Rattus norvegicus: one gene and its partners. The protein of the gene in region 5 interacts with the protein of the main gene of each other region in a pairwise test. Links are inferred from orthologs where the notes say so. Each region holds a gene or a part of one and is shown on either strand. Other genes may lie near its edges.

Region 1 (4,154 bases), on a different chromosome or scaffold from region 5:
GGAAACTAGAAAAGTCAAATCCAGTCATAGATTCACAGACTCTGATGGAGCTAAGCTTGAGCTGAGGGCCTGGGCTGAAACCCCGGTTCCTATGAAAGTGGGTCCAGAGTGTACAGCCAGCCTAAGGAGAGACAGGAGGAGCAAGCCTGGAAGTTACAGTGTTGCTGATTGGAGCATTATAGTGTAGCAGACTCTGGAGCACAGAAAGCAACACCAAGTTACAGTGTGGCAGACTCTGGAACACAGGAAGCAACGCACACCAAGTTACAGTGTGGCAGATTCTGGAGCATAGGAAATAACACACACCAAGTTACAGTGTGGCAGACTCTGGAGCATAGGAAATAACACACACCAAGTTACAGTGTGGCAGACTCTGGAGCATAGGAAATAACACACACCAAGTTACTGTGTGGCAGAGTCTGGAGCATAGGAAATAACACACACTAAGTTACAGTGTGGCAGACTCTGGAGCACAGCAAGTAACACCAAGTTACTGGAGCATGCATGGGAAGTAACACCAAGTTACCTTGTAGTAAACTCTGGAGCACAGGAAGTAACACCAAGAATGAATAGATTGGCTGGTGGCTATGACTGAATGGGAACTAGAGTCAGCAGACGTTAGTGTGAATGGTAGAGTTCTCCACAAAGAAAAATGAATTTGTTATCTAAAGTAAAAGCAGAAATTTTATTGGAAAAGAAAAGGATAGCAGTCAAATGCTACTTGGTGGAAGAGTATGTCAATGTAAATTGTGTAATAGCATAAATCCTGATGATATTTTACTGATATTCTATTACATGATTATGGAAGGCTACAGGAAGGACTCAGAATATAAGAGACTGAGATCCTCTGTCATAAAGGAAATTAATTGTTGGTATTTCATCTTGTCAAAAAATAAAGTATATGCAATTAACTTTTTTTCTCTTAAAACTTTAGTGGAAGAACGAAGTTTTGTTGAAAAGCACAGATGGCCATCAAACATGTACTTGAAGCAGCTGGCAGAATACAGGAAATATATCCACTCCCGGAAATGTCGCTGTTTAGTCATGTGACCTGAGCTTTTGCATACTTACACTTTTTTATTATTATGAAGAATGGGTACTTCTGGATTCCAGTAAAATTCTTATAACTAAAATCAATGTTTTTTAAAAATCACTATATAGCTTCTTACTAGTTACCTTTTAAAGACTATGGTGGTCTTAAAAGGGAACAAAAGCTACCACAGACTTAATTAATGCTTCATCTAGAATATAAAACTGTTGGACATTGGGTCTCCTTTAAGTTTCCCTATTGCTTTAATAACATCAAGACCTCTCCTAGTTAAAAGATATTTAATTTAAAAAATCTAGGATAAATACAAAAATTTCATCATGTCTGAGTGATTGCTCTGCTAAAATAAGGAGCATTTAAAAGCCAAGCGGAACCATGGAATTCAGAGGAGCTCTAACCAGTGCAGCATGAAATTGTAGAAATAGAAATTTGCCCATGTCTTTGATAGTCATGTGTCATCTGGCTTCCAGTCCATTAAGAGTATTTGGATCAATATGATAGCCCCATCTGTACCATCCACCCACATCTGCTTGTCAATCAGGCTGCAAACCTAAGTAGGCTGGTAGTTATCTCTGTGTAACCTTCTAGAGTTTATCGACTTCCAAACTTAGAAGGGTCTGGCATTTGGTTTAGTGCTCTGCTAGTACAGTTGTTAAATTCTTAAAAATGTTTGATGAAGGGCCCATGTTTTCACTTTGCACCGGTTCCCCAAAATTGTGTGTATTTCCTAACAAGAAAAAAATGCTGAGATACTGTTTTCTTTTCCTTTTTTTTTGTTTTTGTTTTTGTTTTTGTTTTGTTTTGTTTTGTTTTTTCATTTTTTGTTTGCTTTGTTTTGTTTTTTGTTTTCATTTTTTGTTTGTTTTGTTTTGTTTTTTCAGAGGGGGTTTCTCTGTGTAACATCCCTAGCTGTTCTGGAACTTGCTTTATAGACCAGGCTGGCCTCAAATTCACAAAGTTCTGCTGGGATAAAGGATGTGTGCCACCATGCCTAGCTTAAAATGTTTTTTTTTTCTTGCTCAAACCTTCTCTCTATGGAAGCAGAAACGTTGCTGATAGCCAGGAAAGGACAGTAGCTTTTGGCCAGAAGAGCAGAGTGGAGACTCCCATCTTTGGGAAAGGACATATGCCCATGCGCCTCCACAAAGATCTTTCCTGGCAATAAGAAATGCTGAAATGCTTTTTGTTGGTTTTGAAACACTCCCCCAGTTATAGCTGTACCCCAGAAAAGCAAATACTTTCTTGATCAATATGTAAAGTCAGGAAGTTGTTAAGACTGATAGAGTAACCTGACTATAATACACAGAGTGATAAGCCACAGGAAAAGATGTCTTCTAAAGACTTGGGCCTAAAAACTTAAATATCCTTTCTTTTAACTGTTAAGAATAAGATGCCAATTGCATGAATTGAGTTCTTTTCAAGGACTGATAGACTATTTGGTATGAAGTAGCAAAGCCACCTGGGAAGGTAAAAAAGGATGTAAATCAAAGACATCCTTTTTTGTCGATGTAGAGACAATGGTGTCTGGGATTGAAGGCAGAGTTAGTATCACTCATAGCATATATTTGCAGAAATGATTCTGCAAGATGCTCAACGGCATGGAAAAACATATTACTCTTTTTTGTTAATATCATGGTCATGGGATATATTTTTCTAATTTCTAGTGATTTTTAGTATGCATATTTTTCAAACTTTTCAAAAATTTGATTCAATAATCTTATCCTGTAGTGTTAGGATTCCATACAGAAAGCCCTATTATACATACCAAACTATCAGAATAAAGGGGAAAGAATCCCAAGAGAGCTTATTTTAATTTTGCTGTGTCAATGAAGATTACTGAAATGAATTTTGTCCTTTATATTTTAATCACTTGAGTGAATCAACATTGGCAAATCCCATTTGGTGGCTTAGCATTAGAAAGAACAGCTGATGCCAGAAGTTCCTCTGCTTTTTCAGATCAGTGGTGGCCTTTGATACTCTAAAGTAATTATGTTCACCCTCTGTACTAATGACATTTAAAATTCTAAAATTTTATGATATTGACATGAAAAATAGGAGCTGAGAAAAAAACATTTTCTTGGAAATATTATTTTAACATTTAGGTGGATCATAACTAATTTTACTAGGGTGTTTTTCCTGAGTAGGAGTTGAGTTTGGAACTGGTAGTCTTGCATGTTAAACATAAAGTGTGACTGAGACAGCCATGAGTCAGAATATAGATGAATTCTTAAATGTTTGAATACAAAGGCCTCGGTATTGTTACTCAACAATTCCAATCCACTCAGTTGGAAGTAATAGGAGATTTTGAATCTTTATAAATGATCTTGTGTAAATTACTGCTGGTTGTAAGGGTTGTTTCCCAATCAAAGGTTATTTCTAGACAGTGATATGCTTGTTGCAATTTCTTGCTTCTATTGGCCAAGCATTTTACTTAGAAAGGATACTATGTAGTTGAACTAAGGCTACTTCTAGTCTGGGCTTGCATCTTGTTGTGCATTCCTTGTATGCTGTTGACCACATCCCTGTTCCTTCTGCAGAGGACTAGATTTCTAACAGAACATTGGCCTAGTAGCTGAAACCCACCCCTGTGCAAGCCAGAATGGAGCTTCATATTGAGTAGTGGAAGGCGGAGAAATAAGATGGATTTCCAAACTGGCCAAACTTTTTAACTGTAATTTTACAAATGATACTACACTGATATAGCCAATTCGATTTAAAATGTCTTCAAAAATTACTGTATTTTATTTAAAGCATCTGTTTACTGCAACTTTTAATCAGATTTTGCAAAGGGTATGTATGTATTTTAATATAGCCTGACCTGAATTTATATGTTTTTAGCTTTAGTATTTAACCTTTTATAACAAATAAACCATTTTTTTAAAAAAAACAAGTTCAATGGAGTGTTAATTCTTTCACTCTGAATGTTTGTTGCTGAAATGATTTTGGGATATTAAGTTTCTCAAGCACAATTGCATTTTATAAACAGTTTCCCTTATGTATAAAATCCTGAGTATTGCTAGTATTGTAGATGCCTCATATAAGTAAGATGAGATAAGGAGATGATGTTACTTTTCATACCTGTGTAAGGGATAAAATAATCCCCCAG
Region 2 (3,040 bases), about 38 Mb from region 5:
GTACTCTGTCAGCATGCTAGGAAGGAGCCCTTCTAGGAAAAGAAAATATAGTGCAGCCCCAAGAAGGACATTAAAGTTATATTTCCCAGCTTCCTTTCATGTTCCCCAGAGAACTGGAGGTGCTCCAGATGGTACCTGGCTCAGAGTACACCTGTGGCCCTCTCTGTCCATGAAGCATTGACTTGGTGGTCCAGGTCAGATTCCCAACTCTCCTGACCTCACTGTGTAGAACATTAGTCAGCTCTATGTATTTCAATACCCCATGGCAAGCTGCTGGTGCCTTACATCACTAGTGGGAAGTCTAGACAGACTTGATGCATAAGAGTACTGGCTTTGGTGTCATGTCTGTCTGCTGTGACAGAATACCCAGAGAGAAGCAGTTTAGAAGGGAAAGGATTTACTTTAGCTTACAATTCCAGGTTACAGTCCAATCATTGCTGGGAAGCTGAAGTCACAGCACACCCACAGGAATGAATGAATGTAAGCAAGCTTGCCCTCACTTTGTCCTCTCCACTCATACAAGATACAGGATCCTCAGCTCATGGGATGGTGCTATCCACAGGCCCTCAAGACAGTCACCCCAAACATACATATAGCCTCAACTGAGACTCTTATCCCAAGTGATGCTAGATTATGTCAAGGTGACAATGGTAACCACCAGAGTATGTTAGGAGTTATCCTGTGTTCTACAGATGTGAGGACGGTTGGGATAATGAGTCAGGATTACTTTCTGTGCCTCTGCAGGAAACTCTACCACCATAACAATGCCCAACTGGGCATGGCTGTGATGCGGGCAGGGCTGACCAACTGGCATGCTGGTCACATTGAAGTAGGGCACGGGATGATCTGCAAAGCCTATGCTATTCTCCTGGTGACCCATGGACCCTCCCACCCTATCACCAAAGACTTAGAGGTAAGTAGCATCCTGGAGGTGGGCAGTCACTGTCTTGTTAGAAGATTTCTTAAGATGGGAGGCCTGGTTCATCTGGACTTTGCCTTGTGGAAGTCTGTAGACTACTACTAGACCAGAAAGAAACTTAGAATGCTTTAGCCCACCCCCTTGATTAATATGAAGAAACAGAAGCCCCATAGAGGGTAGTTCTCTGTTTATAGCCATCTGGTGGTTTGATGGTAAGGTCAGAGTTGGCTAATTTTATATCTAGTATATTAAGCTTGTCAATGGCAGAGTCTCTGTCAGTCTTACCACAGTTTCCTGGGCCTCTGAACACCTAACTTTTTCTGAATATTCCCAGAATGGATATGTGGGACAACAAGGACTACATTGCATGTTGTACACTATAATCTTCCCAACCTGCTGTAAGGTACAGAGAAATCTTGCCATCTCTTGGATGGTGAAACAGGGGGCTGAAGGGGTCAAGTCACTTTGTTGACATCCTACAACCAGAGAGTTTAGAATCCAGGATTCAGATCCAGGTACCCAGCTAATAGTGAGAAGAAGCACTTTCTGCTGAAATCAACCCTTTGGCTACTGTTTCATGCGTCCAGCTTCCTCTCTCTATGATGCTAGCCATACTGCTACACCATCTGCTCATAATAGTGTGCATGCGTACACGCACACATGCTCGCGCACACACACACACACACACACACACACACACACACACACACACACACACACGTTTCTGAAGGGATAGAGTTGAATTTTACTGACCAGGGGGTCATTTATCCAAAGATCCCTCATAACTGTGTCTTGGGAACTTCTTTTTATCAGTGCTGTATCTATCTGTGTCCCACAGGCCATGCGGATGCAGACAGAGATGGAGCTGCGTATGTTCCGCCAAAATGAATTCATGTACCACAAAATGCGAGAGGCTGCCCTGAACAACCAGCCCATGCAGGTCATGGCTGAGCCCAGCAACGAGCCAGCCCCAGCTCTGTTCCATAAGAAGCAATGAGGACCTTGTTGGAGGGTGGGGGCATTGTGGCTGCGGAGCTGAGGAAATTACTACTCTGTGTCCCCCACCGCCATTTTGGTTCAATTCAACTCAGCTTAGTTCTCTCTCATTTCAGACCAACTCTTTCTCTATGTGTCGGGTGCTAGATTCCACCGTCTATTTAACAAGGAAGCCCCAAATATACTTCGGCTAGAAAGAAAAATGTAAACAAACAAGGTACAGCATAATAGTAAATGCCACGGTGCACTCTATGGAGAGGGGTTCAGAGGAGGTGAGTGTGTGTGAGTGAGTGAGTGTGTGTGAGTGAGTGTGTGTGTGTGTGTGTGTGTGTGTGTGTGTGTGTGTGTAAAACACCTGAGCTAAGAGTGGCAGGTACCTAGAATCTCAGGTGGCTGCTTGTTTCTTTGTGCAGGGGTCTCTGGGGCTGCTGGTTTCATCTACAGTTACGAACATTTAGGGTTCTGCAGACTGGGATGGGTGATGATGACCTGTATCCTGAGGCTGGGACTGTTCTTGGCCCTTTGAGATCTACTCAATGGTGCCTAGAAAGAGGTAGGGATCTTGGGATCCTGTGGTCTTAATTTCCTAATCCAAGTTGAAGCATACTTTTAGAATAACTCTAGAACACACAGAGAAGGAATTTTTCCCTTCCTGGTCCTACCCACCAAGTCTGTATCTCCTTGTGATGTTGAAGGAAAGCTGAGGTTTTCCTGGCCATTGACTTGTAGGAGTAGGGAAGGCTTTTCAGGGTAAAGCTGACGGTGTGTGTGCCTGGCAATGACGGACCCTCAGAAGCAGTGTGTAGGGGTTTTGATACTCAGCAGTCTGCCTCAGCCTAGGCTTCATCATTGGCCTGATGAGGCTCTACCCATCATATCGAGTGAATGACAGTTCCTCTGCTTGATGCCTTTATCCTGTCTGTGCTCTGGGGGCTTCTGCCCTTAGGAGAAGGCAGTCCACACGACCTAGGAACTCATCATAAGTGTGACCAGTTTGTTCTCCTTTGCTTAGAGGCTGACTTCTGACTGAGAGATGAAGGTCCCAGAATGGCCTTTTAGTTTCTGGAATTCCAACTTTCTCACCAACATGGAGGGAGACCATGAAGTAAATTCCTTTAGTAGAAG
Region 3 (2,421 bases), on a different chromosome or scaffold from region 5:
TATTTGACAGTTGTTGGCTTGCTAAAAAAATTGCTTTGATTTTTTTAAAAAGAAATTTTCAATAACAAAAATAGCTTCATTTTAAATTTCTTTCCTATTACCAATACTAGGAAAAAAATGATATAGTGTTTTGCAATCCGCAAACCAGTTTTCTAGGCATTACTTTATACTGATAGATGAACATGACTATTTTTATGTTGATGATATTTTTTGGGCACCAGCTTCACCTCTTTCTTTTAGAGACAAGGAGACGTTGAGAAATACCATATTAATTAGCTGTGCCAACTCAACTGGGAAAAAATTAACCAAGATATTATTCACTTCTGAAATGAAGAGCTGTTACTAAGACAAAGGTCTGCAGTTGTCCATTAATTGCTAACTCATTCGTAAGCTGTCTACTGACGGCTACATTTTCAGGCATTGGTAGTTATGTGGCTTCCATATCTAAGATGCATTCGGCAGCTTAGGACACAGGTGAACACGATTTTTAAAATGCTGGGGAGGATGAATCTTACCTGTCCTCCCTTTCATCCATGACTTTTATCTACATACTGGCTTTTTCCTTGCATATACATACATTTCTATATATGTTAGGGAGCTGTATTAGTTCACATTATAATTTAATTTCTATACTTAACAGAAAAATTAAGTTTAGATTTAGTATGTAAAATTCTAAACCTTTGGGGGTTGGAGATTTAGCTTAGTGGTAGAGCGCTTGCCTAGCAAGCGCAAGGCCCTGGGTTCGGTCCCCAGCTCCGAAAAAAAGAAAAGAAAAAAAAATTCTAAACTTTTATTTTTCTCCAGTGGGAAACATCTTTTCCCATTAGGAAATAAGCCCTACCGCCTTGTTCAACACACAGGGGAAGGGAAAGAATTGTCAGAGAGAGAGAGAGACAAAATTATTTGTTGGTTAGGAGCCAGCCATGGAAAAGCATACAGTAAACTTCTCAAACTTCTCCGGAGCTGGGTGTCTGGCACTGAGCTCCCCCGGAAGGAAACTTTCCTAAGATATTCTATCAGTTTGCTCATGCAAACAACATGAAATCTTGAATCATTTTTGTGTCCCACTAAATTTGTTATGACTCCTACTAGCAAAGCACAAAATCTGGAAAATGTGCTATGAGCTCATCATATCCACATTAGTGGAAACACAAGAGTCAACCACTGGGTCCTTACGTCTCAGGATGTGGGTTTAAAACTGGTAAATACATGTTATATTGTGATTTAAAAAAACTCCACAATTAATAAAGAAGTATATTTTTTAAAGCAGCACCACAGGTTATAATATACTATGTGGAGTTTTGTCAAGATAATTTACAAGGCTTTAACAGACATAAATGAATTCTGTCATCAATTAACAACAAAAAGGTACACACTCATATGGTCATAAATGATTTTCTTTAATCTATTAGGTTTTCCTTATAGAATAAGAAGAGAAAACAAAAAACAGAGAATTCCCCACCCCTACTCCCACACACTCATCTACCTGTATTGAAGCAACAGTGTTTCCAGCTGCAGGGCTTCTCAGAGCATCAGATTCAGAGTAATGCACAGACATCTGATGGCCGGGAGACCTGGGGGTAACTTCTGGGGAGATGGGAGTGTCTACAGGAGGAGCCAGTTCAAGCTCATCTTTCCCAGTATTCTGCCTGGCCTTTGCTGTTAAGTCTGTCCTGTTAGGGTCAATCTGCACCGTGCTCAGAACAGTCATCTTGGTGAGTAATGCTCTAGGCAGAATGTCCATTGGGTCAGTGTGTACCCCTGAGAAGCAGCTGGAAACTCTAAGGTCCTCCTCTACACTCCCAGGATCCTGAAGGCCGCTTCTGGATGGGAGATGCTGTGGGCTCGCTGTGACTGACGGTGCTGCTGAGAGGCCGGACTCTGCCTGGCTATCGTCATCATCCTCTTCGTTGTCATTATCATCCTCATCTGGGCCATCAGATTCTTCAAGATCAAAGCCAGACCGCTCGCAACCGAATCTTTGCTTTTCGTCTAATATGACAACCAAAAAGATTTGTTACAGAATGTTCTACAAGTACACAAACACGATGATGTCATTTTTAGAAGCTCAGCAACACTGTCCAGCACACAGAAGATGGCCACCCACAGCACACTTCAGAAGAGTGATGCAGAAAAGCAGCCAATCAAGTGGCAGGACATGAGGGGAAGGGCCATGATGGGGTGGCAGGGAGGCACATGGAATGAGCCTTCAGAGAGGAAGACACAAGCACAGTGTGAGGTATAAAGAAAAGAAATAAAGCCTCAAGTATTATATTAGAAAAACTCTTAAATATGACAAGAACAACTGTTCTAAGCTTGTTCTCTATTTTCCTATTGTTGGGTCCAAAGGAAGCTCCCTCTTCCCAAATTCCAAAAGGCAGAGGGACAAATGGCTATCTGTGGCGCCTCTTAGCATGTCAC
Region 4 (3,935 bases), on a different chromosome or scaffold from region 5:
CTCCCTATGAAGCAACCAGAGCCTGTTTTCTCTGGGCCGCTGCCTACTCCTGCACCAGCACCGTGCTCATCTTAGCCAGCCTCCCTTGGCCCATTAGCGTTTCCTGTCCGAATGCCTACCAAACTTCTACTGCGGGTCCCTGGACCCAGTACAAGACAGAGGCTAGAAAACAGCTGCTGGGTGTTCACATGAGTCACCCGCCAAGATGTCCAAAGGAACACAACAACCCCAGCCTCTCACCTGCACACTCAAAGAGGAGCTCCCCGTCGCTGAGCCTCCACACAAAGGCTTTGTCGTCTTCACCCCCCGTCACTGCCAAGGTGTTGGTTTTGGGGTCCAGGCTCACACAAAACACAGATGCTGTCCCAAGACACAGTCCATGAGAAAGGGCTCTCACCTAGAGTTCGGCCTTTCAGAACCTTCAGGAAGCACATTCCCTTTCCCCAAAGCCACAGTTATTCTCTCCTGGGAAGGCTGCATCCAGTTCTTGTCTGGAGCATCAGACTGTTAAGAGAAATCTTTCCCAAGCCCACAAAGCTCCAAGTCCTCCTCCAGAGCATATCCCACTGCTGTTCTGTTCCCCTCAGTCTGCACTCTGAGGTGCAAGCCAAGAGGTGGCTCTATGGTCACAGCTGACAGCACAGGCCATACCAGGCTGAGTAGGAATTAAGTTATGAGCAATTCACGAGGCTACAATTCACGAGGCTAGCATCTGAGGTTATTGGTAATGCTTCTTTTCGAGTGTAAACTGCCTTTAATTTCCACTTGGGTTACTCCCATTCACTTTCATCCAAGATAACTTTTTTTTTTTTTTTTAAAGAACACCAAGATTCAGAAAGCTAACTAAGGTAACAGACTGCTAAACAGCAGAGGTAGGATTTGAACTCAGGGGTCTCACTTAACTCCAGTGCCTTTTTGGCCCTTCCTTTGAATATCCTGCAGGCCAAAGTAGGTGGCTTTCACTTTTGTCTCTCATAATAACCTCCCTAGGGCCATGGGCCATACTCAAAGGCCCATCTGCACTGATCTGAGGTGATCCCTTCAAAGGCCTACCTGAGTGCAATGCAAAGGTGACCTCACTGTCATCGGGGCCTTCCATGCTACCGACCACCCCTTCTTGGGGTTCCAGGACCCAGCCCTCGTCATTGCCCTCTTCTTCTTCCTCCTCTTCCTCAAAGTCCACGTCTTCCATCTCCTGGGCCAGATCATCTGCTTTGGGAGAAGCGTTAAAAGATGGAGCTCGAAAAGATAGAGAAGGAATGGGGTAAGGGTTGAAGAATGAAAAAGGTGACGCTAGGGTGGGTCATGTGGCCAAGGGTTAAGGTGTTGTCCCACACGTACCGAGCAGGAAGAGAGCACTTGGGGGGCGGGGAGGGAGAGAGAGGCTAGGTCTGAAGACCCGGTGTTGGCCAGCGACCGTGTAGGAAGAGAGGACAGAGGGCATGATGGGAAGGGGGTGTGTGAGGGGAAGGGCCAGGGGAGGCGTCAGGGAACCCCCACCCAGCCAGGCCTAGAAACTAAATGTGGGGGGTAGGGAAGGAGGTCTGGGAGAGAAATGTCGGTAGGAACGACCGGTAGGGATGGGGGGAGGGGGAACTGGGGAGAAGCAGGGGTCAGAGGCCAGGGGTGAGTGCCTCCTGTCCCGTGGCCTCAGGAGCGTCAGTTCTCACCCGGGTCCGGCGGGCCTGGATCCAGCTCTACCACCTCAATGATCTCTTCATCTCCGTGAAAGCTCAGAGTCTCCAGAGGCGGGGTGTCAGCGGCCGCTCCGCTCTCCGATTCGGACTCCATGCGGCGAAACCTACCGATCCACTTCTCTGGGCCCAAACGCCTCCCAGAGTCAGCTCTGCGCGACGACGCGGAACTCGAGCCCCTCCTCCCGGGAGGAAGTAGGCGTAGGTGACTCCCAGCCGAAAGAGCGACGGCATCCGGGCCAATAGCAACAGAGGTGGACTAACAGAGACGCCAATCATAAGGCAGAACTAGGATGACCAGGCCGGGGCGTGGCGGGAGAGTCCAAGCTCCACCCTACACGACTCCGCCCCCGGCTGGAGGGAAACAAGCGAGCGTGCGCGCCTCCGGCGTCTCCTGGGAGGAGTAGTTCTCCCGGGCCCGCTATGCGGACTTCTGGGAAATGTAGTTTCGACTCTGTAGGCAGGACGGAAGGCGCGGGGGAGGCCCCTTACGCAAACTACAATTCCCGACGGGGAGCGCAGTGAAGGGGGGTGGGACCCGAACATGGCGGCGGTGGTAGCTGCTACGGCGCTGAAGGGCCGGGGGGCGAGAAATGCCCGCGTCCTCCGGGGTAAGGAGAGGGACCCTGGGGAGGGCAGGGTTTTAAAAGATTCCGTTTCCCTTACATCCTACCCAGCGCGACAGCAGGAAGTCAGGCTGCCAATTGCTGCCCACATCTCTCTTTATGATCTTAAGAGAGTCTGGGGGTGAAAAGATGCTCTAGAGGTCATCCAGTCCAACCCCTGCGTTTAGGTCGCGCGGCATGTCTAGGGTCTTATTGCTAGAGAGAGTACCAGAGACATCTTTCGACTCCCGCGTCCCAGGGGTTTCACACTCACCGCAGTGCAGAGGAAAGAGCCCTAGGCTTCTGGAGGTTTGAGTTCTAGCACTGAGTAATTAGCGGTTTGACCTTGTGCGAAGCAGCTCGTCTCTCCGGGCTTCAGCTTCCTCTTCAACGGGATGGAGTTAGTTATCCTTTAGGATAGCTAAGGTCCTGCAGTTTTAAAACAGTTCCCCGAATTTCCTTCATTCGTATGTCTCCGGTGAGTTCCTCTGCAGTCCTTCCCAACCTGTCTTCTGAGTAGAACAGCAGCGAAGCTCACTGCCTTGGCACCAGGGTGAGGAGTCCGCAGTGACGTGGAAGTAGCTTCCAAAGGTGTCACCCGATGGCGATTTTCCCATTTCTCTTTAGATTCTTCACAGCACTTATTACTCCAAACTGCAGTCACTCCCCTTCCTCAAATCTCAGCCCCTCTAACCCTCCCTCATCCCCCATACTGACCTGCGGTACTTTTATTCACAGGGATCCTCTCTGGAGCGACAGCTAACAAGGCTTCCCAGAACAGGACCAGAGCACTGCAGAGCCACAGCTCACCAGAATGCAAGGAGGAGCCTGAGCCCCTCTCCCCTGAGCTAGAATACATTCCCAGAAAGAGGGGCAAGAACCCCATGAAAGCTGTGGGACTAGCCTGGTGAGTTTTAACTGCCCCTTTGCCTACCAGTGGGGAGTGTACTGAAAGGTGTTGGAACCTAGAAACTTCTCCAAGTTGCAAGGGCAGAGCTGAATCCAAGGGAAGGAAATTGCTGGATTCAAGGGATGGAATCTCAGAAGAATGGGGTGAGGTGAGGGTGGAATAATATGTAAAATTGGGGGACAGTGGCTTTTCTTTGGAGCAAATTGAGCTGATCTGATTTGGAGTCGTTGGATTCATCCTTCCCTTTGGGAGCAGGGGTAACATTCCAATCCCAGTAATTAAAATAGTGTCAGATTGTGTTGTATAGAAGCTAGAATCGTTTCTGTGAGTTCTGTGGTTCTGATTCTGGTTTTAATACATATTACTGATTATCAATCACTAAAGTAAAAGGAAGGGAAATTAACATTTTTTCCAGCAAATGTCTGAGGTATGACAGTACTGTGCCATATAATGTTTTAAGCTTTCTGAGGTAAACATTGCACTTTCATCTTGCCAAGCAGGGAACTGAGGCTCCCAGCTGCAATTGTCACCAGCTCTTGTGGCTTCCTGTTCTTTGGCACTTGCCAAGGCCCTCTTTTAGTAGTAGTTACTCTGATTGAGAGTTGGTTGACGTACCTTAGTGGTTGTGCACATGCTTAACATCTTTGAAGCCCTAAGTTCGATTTGCAGCACCGTAAAGAAAAATAGAGAGGTCTGGCAAGGGACACAAGACAGTATATGCAGAGA
Region 5 (3,934 bases):
ATCAACTTTCTATTTTTAGTAGGAAAACTGGCAGGCATGCTGGCTCGGTTTGGTTTTTGTTTGTGATTCTTGTACTAGCCTTGGACGGAACAGAAGAATGCCTGAGGGGTAGGTGTTAGGATTCCCCCTGGTCTGTACTGTATGATCTAGAAGGGAGAAGGGGGAGGTTAGAAGGTGCCCCTGATTCTCTGAAACTCAGGATAAATGAATGATGAAACCAGTGGTTTCATTGGATTGTGCAATTTGCCAAGATACCTAGTGGCTATTCAGGGAACCACAATGAAATGCAGGCAAGAAAAAAAAAAAAAAAAAAAAAAAAAGCCTGCTGTCATCCTGCCAAGACTGCATCCCACATCCAAAGACAAGGAAGCAAAGGGACAGGAAAACACTAGGGGCAGACCCGTGTTCTGCTCACCCATGAATGAGGGCTCAGCAGACCAACTGTAAAAACACCCACAATGCAAATTATCGATGCCTTGGCATTTTAAAGGGGGATGGGGAAGTCTCCCAGAACCGAGACACTCTCGGGCCAAAATGTCACAGGAACATTTCATCACTGGGCTAATAAGTACTCATTCCAGGTGGTGCACAGCAGCATTCCGTATGGGAAAGTATGACCTTTTAGGAAAGAATCAGAAAAGCATCTCCCCCAGTGAATGTGCAAAGGAGATGGTAGCTCAGAGTCAGGAGCCACAGCCAGCCCTCCGGGCTCGATCTGTGCTGAGACACTAATCAGGCCAGGCACTCACCAGCTTGTAAACCGCTCTGCAGGGCCATGATTTTCTGCTGCTGCTGATCAATTAGGTTTGTCAATGCTTTCACGTGCTTCAGCGTCAGCTCGAGAACCACTGCTTTCTCCAAGTGACCCAAAGTCTGAGGAAACAAAAAAAAGGGAGCTTCCGTCACCTGTGAGGTCAGTGAAGTCCCTTCTGACACACACTATTTGTTATGAGAATTGGGTGTAGACAACGAGATAGGAAGAGCTTTTCCTGCCCCACTAAATTTAAAGTTTGCAGATGTGTTAACATATCCATATAACGATCAAAGGCTTAAAAAAAGTCAAACATGTGTTGCCTATCTTTGGAGGCATTTTGGTAGCTGTTACAGTCTCGGGAGTGAGCTGACAGATATATTTCTCCAGCAGCTGCCCTGACCTTAACTCAGGGGACTCCGGAGATAACATTTCCCTGCTGTGGTGTCAACTCAGGGAGGGATGTCTACTGTGTCTGGCAACCAAACGGCTTTCCCAGTGTGCTGAATTTTTTTTTTACACATCCCCCCCCCCCCCAAACACCCGTTCAGGACTTCCAGTCATGCAGGCTTTTCGTCTTCCTTTCCAAACACTTTTCCCGAAGGAAAATCCAGAAAGCTTTCGGTTACCAGTAAAGATGATGATGAAAAGAAAAGGCACACATTAAATAAAGTAGGTCCTCTCGTGGATGGTAAGAGGACAAGGAGAAGGGCATAATTTTTTAATCTCACGGTTTGTTCCTTTTAAGTTAAGGGAGACTACGAGGTGGTGAGAAAGAAAAAAAAATACCAAAAGGAAGCTGTGCTAGTGTTGGAGCCAACTTAAAGAGGCCCCAGATGGTTCTGGTTCTGCCTCTGCCTGGAAGTCCTGGGTCTGGGTCTGGGTTCCCTCCAAACCAGAACTACTAGGAGCTTTGATCCGCCCGTCTAGCCTGCAGTTCCCGTTGACGCCTGCAGGCGGCGGGTGACCCCCACCCGCCCTCTGGGCAGAAGAACTGGGTTGGAGCGCAGCCAGGTTCTCACTTACAGTAAGTTTGAGATGTTCGGGTAGGAGATCCTTCAGCTGGGCAATGCACTCGTTAATCCGGTCACGTCTCTTTTTCTCAATCAACCGGTGCGGCAATTTGTAAGTTTCCTGCAAGGAATAAATGGAAGCAGTGGGTGCCTGAGAAAGGGAACACGAAGCTTCCTCCCTTCCTCCCCACCCAGCACCAGAGGGAAAAAAATTCTGCGAGGGCGCAGAGACGCACCGAGGATCACCTTCTCTGCCCCTTCTTTCCCAAGTCACTCACTTGTGACAATAAGCTCATCACATCCCGAAACCCCCAGCCAACCTTCAAACAAGCAAACTTTTCCTTGGAAACTCAGCGCACGCGAGAGGCTAAGGAACGGGGTCCCCAGGGATGCACCTACCTTGCTGTCCTCGCTCCGTTTTATTCCCCGCCTGGACTTGTACACTTGGTACATGTGGGCAAAATCCATCCTGCAGGGAGAAAGGCCAGAAAGAGCCGTGACTCCCAAGTGCGTACTGGCTGCAGAAGTCCTACAGATGCAAGAAGCCCCCTATATGCCCAGAGATGCCCCAAGTTGAGAGTGGTATGGAAGACACGGTGAGGAGCGGAGACTTGAAGGGATCACAGCGCACACTTACCCTGACAGGTCTCCGTGCTCCAGCCCTGGCGTTTTGGGCAGGCAGGTAGGAGGTGGTTGCGCGCTGGGGATCCGCTCCATGATGCGGCGAGCAGGGGCCACTGTGCGCTCCTGTCTGCACTTAGCAGAGAGTCTGAGAGAGGACTGCCCTGGAAGGGAGGATCCGAGGGTCTCAAGGGGTATGTTCCTATGAGCTAGCCTGAGCTTCTTGCAATGCGCTGGGCTGCCAGGAGCTGCGGCTTTGAGGTGTCGCTTCAGTTGGGGGCGTGCATGACCGGGTGTCCCCCACGGCTTCTGGCTCCCGCTCTGCACACAGACTGGCGGTGTGTGCTCGCTGCGCTGTCTGCGCCGTGCGAGCCAAGTGAATGAGAAGTGGGGCGGGTGGAGAGGCGGGAGGGAAAGGGGGGGTTGCTTAGGGCGGAGCGGGGGGGGGGGCGGTGGTTGCTGGAGGGGACGAGCCGAGGAGTAAGGAGAGGCTGCGGGCTGGGTTAAATGGGAGCGAGTGGGTGGGTAGAAGCTACGTGTTCTACCCTGTGACTCCAAGCACGTCTGGCCGCTGCCGGGGAGGGAAGGAGCGACCTGCCCGCCCTCCCCCGGCTTCATCACATGAGTCTCACGTGTTGGACAACGCTCTGGCGGCTGCAAAGTGCCCCCCCTCCCCGCCGCCCCAAACCTCGGGCCCCAGGTGTCTGCGGCTGCGGCCTCCTTTCCCCGAAAGAGGGGGTGGCAGCGCAGCCAGAGTCCTGCCCAGCTGGGTGGGGGGCACGGAAGCTGGAAGGAACTGGGGAGCTGGGGGGCGGGGGGAAGAGTTGGTAACGTGGGCGAACCTGCCCCAGGGAAATGAAGTAAGTTCCCGTCTCCTGGGAGGGAACGGGGGAGGACGGATTCCGCCCGCGTCTGACTCAAGCCGGGAGAGGAATATCCCCTTGGTCGCTCCAGCCCAGCCCTCTTCCTCCTCCCCCGCCTGGCCCGCTCCTAGGAACCGGTGCGCAGCGGAGGGAGTTGTCGGCCCCCCTTGGCCTTCCCCAGAGGCTGGGGTTTCTTTCCGTCCTGGCTTCCCAGCCCCCCAACGCTCAGCCTCAGTGTCCAGGAATTGCCCGCCTTGGGGAGGGACCGAGGGCGGGGCGGATGTCACCCCATGGGAAGCGGGCTGGTGGCCAGGCGCTAGGGCAGCCGAGGCCGCCGCCGAGCACGCCGAGCGCACCTGACCGTGGACCGTGTGAGCCGTGCGGACCCTCCCCTCCCCCAACTCTCCCGGGAGCTCAGCTCCCGGGCGCAGCCTGCGGGTGGCCTGGCACCCGACTGGCGCGCACCCATCTCCTCCCGCCTTCCAGGGTGCCTCACTGCCCCCACCCACCCTGGCTAGTCAAGCACAGAAAGATACCGGGCACGGTGCCCGGCGTTCCCTCCCTCCTCTGCCCCCTCCGATGCAGAGGCGTCCGGGTCGCCTCCCCTCCGGCTGCAGAGTTACACAACCGCGGCGACGGCGCCTGCCCTGCAGCAGCGCGGGGCGTGACGCTTCACGTGGCCCAGA
Region 6 (4,300 bases), on a different chromosome or scaffold from region 5:
GATTAACTCCCTCTATTGCACACTGCAAGGAGGTGACGAGATATTCTGACATTGTTACATGCCCAAATAGATCTGGAGTCTACGAGGCAAATGAAGTTGCTCGAGACGGTAGAGCTAGGAAAGGGACACCCCAGCTTTCACTTTGCATACTCCTCAACACCTTTCATCTCTGAAAGCGAGGGTGGTGGGAGGGAATTCATCTTTGTTTAATATATAGCAGATTCATGTATCACAGCTGGGACACACATGTAAAAGCCATGTGAAATCCCTTCACACATGAACACAGCACCAGCAAGTCTGCACCTACTCTGTGGCCCCCAAGATAGCTAACACATTTCTAGATCACAAGTCACAGTGCAATCCAGCAAGACAACTAGGGATTGTGTATGAGGTATTTTAAATTCAGCACTGCCTCCTACTGGCTGCAAAGTGGCTGACTAGCGTGCGTTCGGGTTCCTCATGGTTACTTGGCTTCCTGGGTCCGGGATTAGCCCCTGCTTCAGAGATGTGGAAGGACTGAGTGCAATAACCCACAAAACTAATTTACTCAGACTTCTGCTATTATTTCCTTTTAGCTATGAATTGCCTCTTCAAACTGAAATCGAGTGAAAAAAGGGGAGGAAAGTGAGTCAAATATTTTGAGACAGTTTCGTGTAGCCCAAGCTCGCCTAAAACTTGCTATACAGCTGAGCTCCCGATTTTCCTATACCCACCTCTGAGTTCCAGGACCACTGAGATTTGCTACCACATACTGATTATTCTTAGGTAATTTTTGATCAGCTGCCCACATGAACCTGCTACCTTTGAGTGGGTTTTTTGCTGTCATTTTTCTTGTTGTTGTTCTTGTTTCTTTGTTTGGTTTGGTTTTTGTACATAACTGTGGGGGGATGAGTATAAGAATGAAAATGTATGTGCAATGTCGAAGGGTGATCTCCAGGTATCTTCCTTTATTGCTTTTTACTTACGTAAAGAGAGGGTCTTTCACTGAACCACTGAATGTGGAACTTTCTGTTCGGCTATGCTGGCTCACAGGTGAGACCCAGGATCCTCCTGTCTCCGTCTTCCCAGTGCTGGGAATACACGTGTATGCCACATTGCTTGACTTCATACACGGGCATTGGAGATCCAAACTTGGGTCCTCATACATATATGATAGTCCATAAGTTTACATAACAATCAGTTGCAATTTAGAACTTAAACTTAGGCTCCGGTGATGGTTTATATAGGTAAAGATTTAAGTTTTCTAAGTTGAAATTGATTGTCCTGTAAGCTTACACATTTCTATTCATTATTCTCTCTAAAAATCTCATGTAGACCCAGCCCCTTGCAATTTGGCCCAGTTCCTCAGGACAAATGTCTTTTCTTTTTCCCTGATTCCCTGTCACTCCATCTCCCTCGGTCTGAGAACTAAATTAATGAAGAGTATTTGGTTAGTCATGTTGGGCGAGCTGCTCCCAAAATAGCTCCTTCCATTTTGGTAGCTCCGACCCTGCAGCTGCCGCGTCCCTTCCTTGTCTGTGAAGAAAACTTTCACATTAAGAGTTGCTGATGCAGGATTTTCTTTCCTTTCCCCTCTCCGCCGCCTGTGGATGAGCACTTGGCTCCTGACAGAAGCGATTTGGCTCTCGGCTTTGTAGTTGAGAAGAAGTTGGGTCTATAGATTTCTTTCCCCCTCTAACTCTCTATTGATGTGTTCAGCCTTGGAGGGAATAAAGCCTCCATTTAAAGCATGTTGGCGTCGCAAGGAGTCCTTCTGCATTCTTATGGCGTGCCTATGGTTGTGCCTGCTGCCCCCTTCTTCCCGGGACTGATGCAGGTAATTCATGGCTTTTGCCAGCAAGCAACTTAACTCCAGAGTGCTCTGAGTAATAATTGGAATTTTTATGGTTGAGAAAGCAAACACTTTTAATACAGGAAGAGAAAAAAGGCAGCCCTCGTGTAGTCAAAGGAAAGACAGTAGGAAATCAAAAAGATGGATCACCTTAATCTGGCTATTGACATCTCTCATGGATGAATAAATGGTGTAGTTGAGCTGTATTTGCTTGTATTGATCTGGGTGCTGTTTAACATTCATGCCTCTGCTTCGGGAGGTTGACCAGGGGGCAAAAGATTTGCTCTCTTCCCCAGCTTTCTGAGGGACTGGGTCTCCCAGAGCAGATCATGAGGCTCAGTAACTTATCATGTTGTGGCTTGCTTAAAGGCTTTAACCCCGGAAACCGAAGGGCAGGAACTACAGTGCTACGGAGGACACCCCACACAGGTTGTCTGTTTGCAGAGAGGCTCCCCCTTCTGAATCTGAGAGGTGACCCACAAACAAGAGAGAACATTGAGAATGGTTTCTTTAGGAAGTTCAGGGGTGACTCTGGAAACCCCATGCCAACTGTTCTCGGCAGCCAGGGAGAAGTTGGAATGCCTGTTGTTTTGACTGCTAAGGCTATTATTCTGTGTGCCGAGAGGTTCATGTGCTAGCGAGAAATTGGGACCTGTTTCTTTGCCTTATTGTACCGCCGTGCTGTCACTCAAACCCGTTGCTTCTGGGTGTATGCCTGCAGTTCTCTGGAAAGCCGACATCCACTTGTGATAGAAGTGGGTCATTGTAGGAAGCAAGTGGCTATTTGTTGCTGTTCTTTGGAAATAACCAGCCCTGGGTAATAAATTCTAAATCTCCTTTCTGTGGGAAAGGAAAATTAAATATATGCAGGACACTTTAGCTTCTGTCCTGTCGTACTACCCCTACCCAACACTCTCTGTTTGAGAGTTCTACAAGACCAATTCATTAATGACGACTTCTGCGGAGGATCCCAAACAAATATTCTTCTTGTTCTGTGACTGTGACTGTGACTGTGACTGTGACTGTGACTGTGACTGTGACTGTGACTGTGACTTTTTATTAACTGTCAGAAGCTGGGTGGTGGAATCTATCCAGCAGTTAGTCCAGACAACACCAGAACTGCCATTGACCCTGGATGTATGCTATTGCTACACTTCTATATTATAGGTAAATAGGCCAGGCAGAGAATAGTCCTGACAACAAGGAAAAGAATTTGTGGCCAGATGGTGACATGAGACTTGGGACGTGAGGGTGAAGCAGAGTTACAGTGCTTTTTGCTTCTGTTGGAAATTTGGGGTGAAGGTCAAAGGCTGGAGTTTTGTCGGCCCCTGTGCTGCCCTATCCGATAAATAATTACAAGCAAATCGCTCATTTCACTCCATGCTGATTGATGCTGAAATTGCTTTTGAAAGTTCTCATAAGTTCCTGTTATAGATTAAGTGCTGGTGCAGGAGAATAACGGTACCCACCGAAATGGGTGAATGTAATCAGGTTTAATGGACTCGAGAGCTTGTTGGGAATTAAATAACTATCGATTTGCTGGGATGTTTCTGTCATTACAAAATGCCACTCTGAACGTATTACCCCAATGATAGATGAGAAGACGCCAGAGCCAACAGAGAAGCTGGGAAGGCACTATTTCTTCCTCTTTGGCAGAATGTTCGAGAAACATAACTGGTTAGTTTGGAATGGAACAAGTTATTTTACTTGCAAATGTTAACCTGATCCATTCTCATTTGTTTCCCAAATGAAAACTTCTGAACTAGTGACCTACAAGCTCTTCTGAGTGTGTCAGTGAGGAGCCTCTGATGAGCTACTGGGACCCACTCCACTGCAAGGCTGTGCACATGGAGGTGCTAGCCGTCTTGCTGTTTGTGGAGGCCACACCACTTGACTCGAAGAAACTACAACACCTCCCATTGCAGTTCTGTTCATAAGAAAAGGATGTGGTGTGATAGAAAGGGGTAGGAAAGCCTAGCTCTCCTTTCACCTTCCACTTCCTGCCCTAGCTACCTTGGCACTTAGCCTTAGGGAGTTTCACCCAAGTCAAGAATAAAGACCCTTCTGCCAGGATTCAAATTTCTTTAGAAACTTAGTAATGTCAGCAAGACAACTAAACTACCGGGAGTGTGGACTCGTCCTTGCTACGACCCCTTGTGCTTGTATATTTGGGAACAGCATCAGTGGTTATGTGCAGGGGCCTCTGGCAAGCTGCTTGAGGTACTGTTCACAATTTTACAGTCTTCCCAAACACAACAGTCAACAGTTCTGTGGCCAAAGATATTCTGTTTTGAATTGATATCTGAGACACTTTTGAAATGTGGGCCGGCATGGCTCATTTTTTGTGCAGTTAAAGAAAAAATAATTTGCATCTTTAAGTTTTAAGAGAGCACCAGACTCATGCTGCAGTCAGTGCTTACAGATGCACATTTAGTTAGGTCCCTCTCATGGACTCTTCTTTAAAGTCAG
Region 7 (4,300 bases), on a different chromosome or scaffold from region 5:
CCGGTGACAAGGGAGGGACAATCTTGGCAAACTCTGGATGTTGGCAGTATGGGGTGCCTAGCTGAGATTCTCAGTGTGCCCCCCCCAGGCCCAAGGGCTGGCTTTTTGATCATCCATGAGCAGTCCATTAAGGGGCTCCTGCAGAGGAAAAATGAAAGTGTCCAGGGAGCATGCAGTTAAGGGGAGCAGGACCCCACAGATAGCGACTCTCTCTCTCTCTCTCTCTCTCTCTCTCTCTCTCTCTCTCTCTCTCTCTCTCTCTGTGTGTGTGTGTGTGTGTGTGTGTGTGTGTGTGTGTGTGTGTGTGTGTGTGTGTGTGTGTACCGGCCCTGATCCTCCAAGGATCAGAGTTGGAACTGCACCTCTCTGAGATCATTGGTCGTAGCAGGTGCACCCTCTGCTGGCGGCTTCAGGGAATGCTCCTCCTGGCTCAGTGCCTTGAGCTGGCAAGGACAGCTAATTCAAAGAGCCACACCGTGTCGAGTGGAGCAGGGAAGCATATGGTAAGATGAGCTGACCGGAAGAGCTGAGGGAGGCAGGATGAGGTGTGAGTGGGAAGGAAAGGGGAAAAACAGAAGTGCGTGAGGGACAGAGAGATTGCAGGTGCTGAAGGCCCCAGGGCTGGCATGGTTGGAGCCCCGTTGAGCATAACATACATGGAGACGACTGCATGAGTTAGCACTGTCCGACTGAATAGTTAGTTACCTTGCCAGTGTCCCTGAGGCCTTCACCTGGGCATCCAGCAGCCGGGTCCTAACATCTGGACTGGATGTTGAACTAGAAACCACATGTGTTTCTCAGCTCCTGTCACCGCTGTGTTGGTCTCCTTCTGGGGGCTGCATGATGCACCCCACCCCCAAACACCTACGGTGACATTTTATATAGACCCATAGTTCTCTCTTTGGTTGATGGTATTGAGGTTTTTCTGCTCTGGAGACTGTGAAAACTGTTTCTAGAGACCTTCCTGTTCTCCTGGTACCTGACTGGGGTCCCTCAAGTAATGGAGCAGAGCCTCAGTTTCCTCCTCTGTAAAATGGACAGCTGCACTCACCTGACAGGTACCCTGCGGGTTGTAGAAGCTGCCTCCCTAGGTATGTGGCTGTAAGTTATAGGTTTCCTGACCAGGAAGGACCCTCAGAGGCATGGGCAAACTGACCTCTGAGGAACAGAAGGTGGTGACTGGTCCTCAGCCAGCTGGAGACAGAGCAGGGATTATAGTTAGACCCCAGGCTTAGCCCATGCTCTCCCTATAGCCTGAGATGGCTACTTGTAATTCTTCCTACGTCCTCAGTACCACCGATGACGCCAGCCCTCAGCAGGATTGGGTCAGGGCCTGACTACCAAGCCCTGCTGGCATCATACTGCCTGGGGTAACATGGGAGGCAGGGCCAGGGGGATTAGAATCTCTGAGCCATCACATGCTGTCAGGGGGAATGCGGGCTACAGCTTCCTCGCAGGCAGGAGTCTCAGGTTCTCCTCATTCCTGCACCCAGTAACAGCCCCAGTGTGACCAGCTCTGTGGTGGGGACACCTGGACTCCTTCTTACAGTTCTGGTAAGTGGACCCCATCCCTGGCTCTATGTATGTATGTATGTATGTATGTATGTATGTATGTATGTATGTATGTGTGTATGCATGTATTTGTGTATATATGTATGTGTATGCACATGTGTATGTGTGCATGTTTATATGTGTATGTTAGTGTATATATGTATGTGTGTATATGTGTTTATGTATGTGTGTGTGTGTGTGTGTGTGTGTGTGTGTGTGTGAGTGGAGGCCAGAGGTTAGCTTTGGGTGTCATTCTCTGGGAACTGCAGGAACTGTCTACTTCATCTCTTGGGGCAAGGTCTCTCACTGGTCTGAAGCTCACTAAGTGGGCTGGGTTGGCTAGGGGGGCCAGCAAGTCCCAGGGATTTGCCCAACCCTGTGTCTCAGGTGCCAGGACACAGATGCTGGGTGATGGGAGCTGGTTTTTTCACGTTCTGAGGCTCCTGCTTAGGTCCTTGTGCTTGAGCCATCGCCATCGCCCATTTAAAAAGATTCCTTTCCAGTCACTTTATGTGCACGTGCGGTGCACACATGTGGAAGCCAGAGGACTGCTGTGGGAGTCTGTTCTCTCCTTTTATCATGTGGGTCCCTGGGATCAAACTCAGGTTCTCAGGCTTGGTGGAAAGTCGCTTTACTTGCTGAGCGGCCTCACCTGAACTCCTCAGCCCCTTTTGAAGGCTGAGGGATGGAAGACATACTCTAAGGATCACCGCTTTTTAGGGTGTCCTAAGAAAGAGGCTATTGCACTGCCACGTTCTATGTGCCTAAGCTGACGGGACAGGCATGTCGCCCTGAGTGTCCTCCAAACCTGAGCCTCCTGACCTCAGACTCTCCAGCCTTAGGCTCTTTAACCGTCTTATTCCCCCATCTCCACAGCATGACCTAGTCTGACGTCAGGGCTCACATTAATTAAAGAGCTTTTTCTCCTGGTCTGAGACAATGTAAAAAGCTCTCAGCCTGGGGGAGCATAGATGGCCCAGAGATTAACAGCGTGTCTGAGTTCCGCTTCTGACCTGAGCTCAGTTCCCAGCAGCCATACTGGGGAGCTCACAACCACCTGGAGCTCCAGCTCCAGGAGATGCATCGCCTCTGGGCTCTGGAGGCTCGTGCACGCAGCTACACACAGCTACACAGGCACATACATTTCCTTCAAAAAACAAAAACTGGACAAAAACTCTTGGCCATACTGTCTCACTCAGAAGACAAGACGTCTCCCTCTGGGTGAGGCAAGTCGCAGAGCTGGCAGTAGCTGCATGACTGGTGGTGTGGCGGGGTTGGTGGGGACGGGGAGCTGGGAGCCTGCCCACCCCACAGACTCAGAAGAAGAGGCTACAGGTTCATGCTCCTTGCTCTACTGCGGTCTTGGGGTATGATGCACACATGTGGTTATGGTGCCCACAGTCTCCCAAGGCTGGAGGACACGTAGAGTCTGGAGCTTTGACCAGTTGCTTGAAGGGACTTCTAGCCCATGAGTGACAGCGAGGAAATCATGCGAACGTCTCAAGCTCCTGTAATTGGCCTTGAGGTCCAGGCACCTGGGGACTGGCTCTACCCCAAGAGACGCCTGACATGCATTCTTGCAATGGAGGCCAGACTCTCTCTCTCTCTCTTCTCTGACAGGTGCTAAGGGACCACTTCCAAAGCTGGGGAACCCCAGGGAGGGGTCAGTGGCCAGATACCCATGTTGAGCATCCACCCCCTGAAACCTGAGGCCCTGCATCTGCCTCTTGGGACCTCAGAGTTCCTAGGCTGCCAGCGGCGCCACACACTCCCTGCCAGTGAGTTCCGCTGCCTCACGCCGGAGGATGCCACCAGTGCGTTTGAGATTGAGCGCGAAGGTGAGTGGCGGTTGGGCGGGTGCTCTGAGCCAGTGTCATCTTCCCAGGCTTCCCAAGGAGTCAAATTTGAGCTCTGTCTGTCTGTCTGTCTGTCTCTCTCACACACACACAGATACACACACACATATACACACATAGAGATGCACACACACAGATACACACACACAGAGATGCACACACAGAAACACACACAGATACACACACACAGATACACACACATATACACACACAGATACACACACATAAATACACATATACATACACACACAGATACACAGAGACACACACAGAGATACATATACACACACAGATACACACACAGACACACACACAGAGATATACACAGATACACACACAGAGATATACACACACAGATACACACACACAGAGATACACACACATAGATACACACACAGAGATATACACACACACAGATACACACAGAGATATATACACACACAGATACACACACACAGATACACACACAAACACACACACAGATAACACACACACGGATACATATACACACACACAGATACATACACAGATACACATACACACATACACAGATACACACACAGATACACAGATACACACACAGATACACAGATACACACACAGATACACACACACAAACACACACACACAGACACACGCACGCACGCACGCACGCACGCTCGCTCGCATGCACACGGAGCGTGTGTGAGGAGAGAAGTGGGAGGGAGGTGTGCTCTAGAGTAGGAAGCAACAGCCCAGAGTCACACGTCTTTCTAGATGGGCGGGGCGGGGATGAGCTGAGTGACCACGTGTGTGCACAAACAACAGACAAGCACACAGCAAGCAGCCATTCATCCTTTCCTTCTGCTGCAGCCTTTATCTCAGTCTCGGGTACCTGCCCCCTCCACTTGGAT

The links.
Region 1: the proteins of Bhlhe40 (region 5) and Rhobtb3 interact in binary tests that used the Homo sapiens proteins (3 or more experiments, as listed by UniProt). The two-hybrid records come from large-scale screens. The link is inferred for Rattus norvegicus from reciprocal best matches to the Homo sapiens genes BHLHE40 and RHOBTB3.
Region 2: the proteins of Bhlhe40 (region 5) and Smyd1 interact in binary tests that used the Homo sapiens proteins (3 or more experiments, as listed by UniProt). The link is inferred for Rattus norvegicus from reciprocal best matches to the Homo sapiens genes BHLHE40 and SMYD1.
Region 3: the proteins of Bhlhe40 (region 5) and Hivep1 interact in a two-hybrid assay, tested with the Homo sapiens proteins (2 studies listed by BioGRID and IntAct). The link is inferred for Rattus norvegicus from reciprocal best matches to the Homo sapiens genes BHLHE40 and HIVEP1.
Region 4: the proteins of Bhlhe40 (region 5) and Aamp interact in a two-hybrid assay, tested with the Homo sapiens proteins (2 studies listed by BioGRID and IntAct). The link is inferred for Rattus norvegicus from reciprocal best matches to the Homo sapiens genes BHLHE40 and AAMP.
Region 6: the proteins of Bhlhe40 (region 5) and Rbfox1 interact in binary tests that used the Homo sapiens proteins (3 or more experiments, as listed by UniProt). The link is inferred for Rattus norvegicus from reciprocal best matches to the Homo sapiens genes BHLHE40 and RBFOX1.
Region 7: the proteins of Bhlhe40 (region 5) and Aanat interact in binary tests that used the Homo sapiens proteins (3 or more experiments, as listed by UniProt). The two-hybrid records come from large-scale screens. The link is inferred for Rattus norvegicus from reciprocal best matches to the Homo sapiens genes BHLHE40 and AANAT.

Annotation. Positions count from the first base shown.
Region 1 is NC_086020.1:7,094,753-7,098,906, reverse strand, and holds the end of Rhobtb3 (rho-related BTB domain-containing protein 3), read left to right. Parts: intron 1-934; coding exon 935-1,050; 3' UTR 1,051-3,654; downstream 3,655-4,154. UniProt on the Homo sapiens protein: Rab9-regulated ATPase required for endosome to Golgi transport. Involved in transport vesicle docking at the Golgi complex, possibly by participating in release M6PRBP1/TIP47 from vesicles to permit their efficient docking and fusion at the Golgi.
Region 2 is NC_086022.1:104,760,194-104,763,233, reverse strand, and holds the end of Smyd1 (histone-lysine N-methyltransferase SMYD1), read left to right. Parts: intron 1-744; coding exon 745-913; intron 914-1,757; coding exon 1,758-1,916; 3' UTR 1,917-2,540; downstream 2,541-3,040. UniProt on the Homo sapiens protein: Methylates histone H3 at 'Lys-4' (H3K4me), seems able to perform both mono-, di-, and trimethylation. Acts as a transcriptional repressor. Essential for cardiomyocyte differentiation and cardiac morphogenesis.
Region 3 is NC_086035.1:22,792,776-22,795,196, forward strand, and holds part of Hivep1 (zinc finger protein 40), read right to left. Parts: intron 1,993-2,421; coding exon 1,487-1,992; intron 1-1,486.
Region 4 is NC_086027.1:83,315,526-83,319,460, forward strand, and holds the start of Aamp (angio-associated migratory cell protein), read right to left. Parts: upstream 2,801-3,935; 5' UTR 2,306-2,800; coding exon of another isoform or gene 2,239-2,305; 5' UTR 1,792-2,238; coding exon 1,671-1,791; intron 1,478-1,670; exon of another isoform or gene 1,445-1,477; coding exon of another isoform or gene 1,342-1,444; intron 1,213-1,341; coding exon of another isoform or gene 1,210-1,212; coding exon 1,054-1,209; intron 361-1,053; coding exon 241-360; intron 1-240. Other genes in the region: probable hydrolase PNKD, read left to right, coding at 2,239-2,305, 3,038-3,206. UniProt on the Homo sapiens protein: Plays a role in angiogenesis and cell migration. In smooth muscle cell migration, may act through the RhoA pathway.
Region 5 is NC_086022.1:143,173,316-143,177,249, reverse strand, and holds the start of Bhlhe40 (class E basic helix-loop-helix protein 40), read right to left. Parts: upstream 2,801-3,934; 5' UTR 2,482-2,800; coding exon 2,402-2,481; intron 2,234-2,401; coding exon 2,164-2,233; intron 1,886-2,163; coding exon 1,778-1,885; intron 874-1,777; coding exon 750-873; intron 1-749. UniProt on the Homo sapiens protein: Transcriptional repressor involved in the regulation of the circadian rhythm by negatively regulating the activity of the clock genes and clock-controlled genes.
Region 6 is NC_086028.1:8,996,592-9,000,891, reverse strand, and holds the start of Rbfox1 (RNA binding protein fox-1 homolog 1), read left to right. Parts: upstream 1-1,500; 5' UTR 1,501-1,729; coding exon 1,730-1,816; intron 1,817-4,300. UniProt on the Homo sapiens protein: RNA-binding protein that regulates alternative splicing events by binding to 5'-UGCAUGU-3' elements. Regulates alternative splicing of tissue-specific exons and of differentially spliced exons during erythropoiesis.
Region 7 is NC_086028.1:102,324,823-102,329,122, forward strand, and holds the start of Aanat (serotonin N-acetyltransferase), read left to right. Parts: upstream 1-1,500; 5' UTR 1,501-1,554; exon of another isoform or gene 1,555-3,171; 5' UTR 3,172-3,232; coding exon 3,233-3,389; intron 3,390-4,259; coding exon 4,260-4,300. UniProt on the Homo sapiens protein: Controls the night/day rhythm of melatonin production in the pineal gland. Catalyzes the N-acetylation of serotonin into N-acetylserotonin, the penultimate step in the synthesis of melatonin.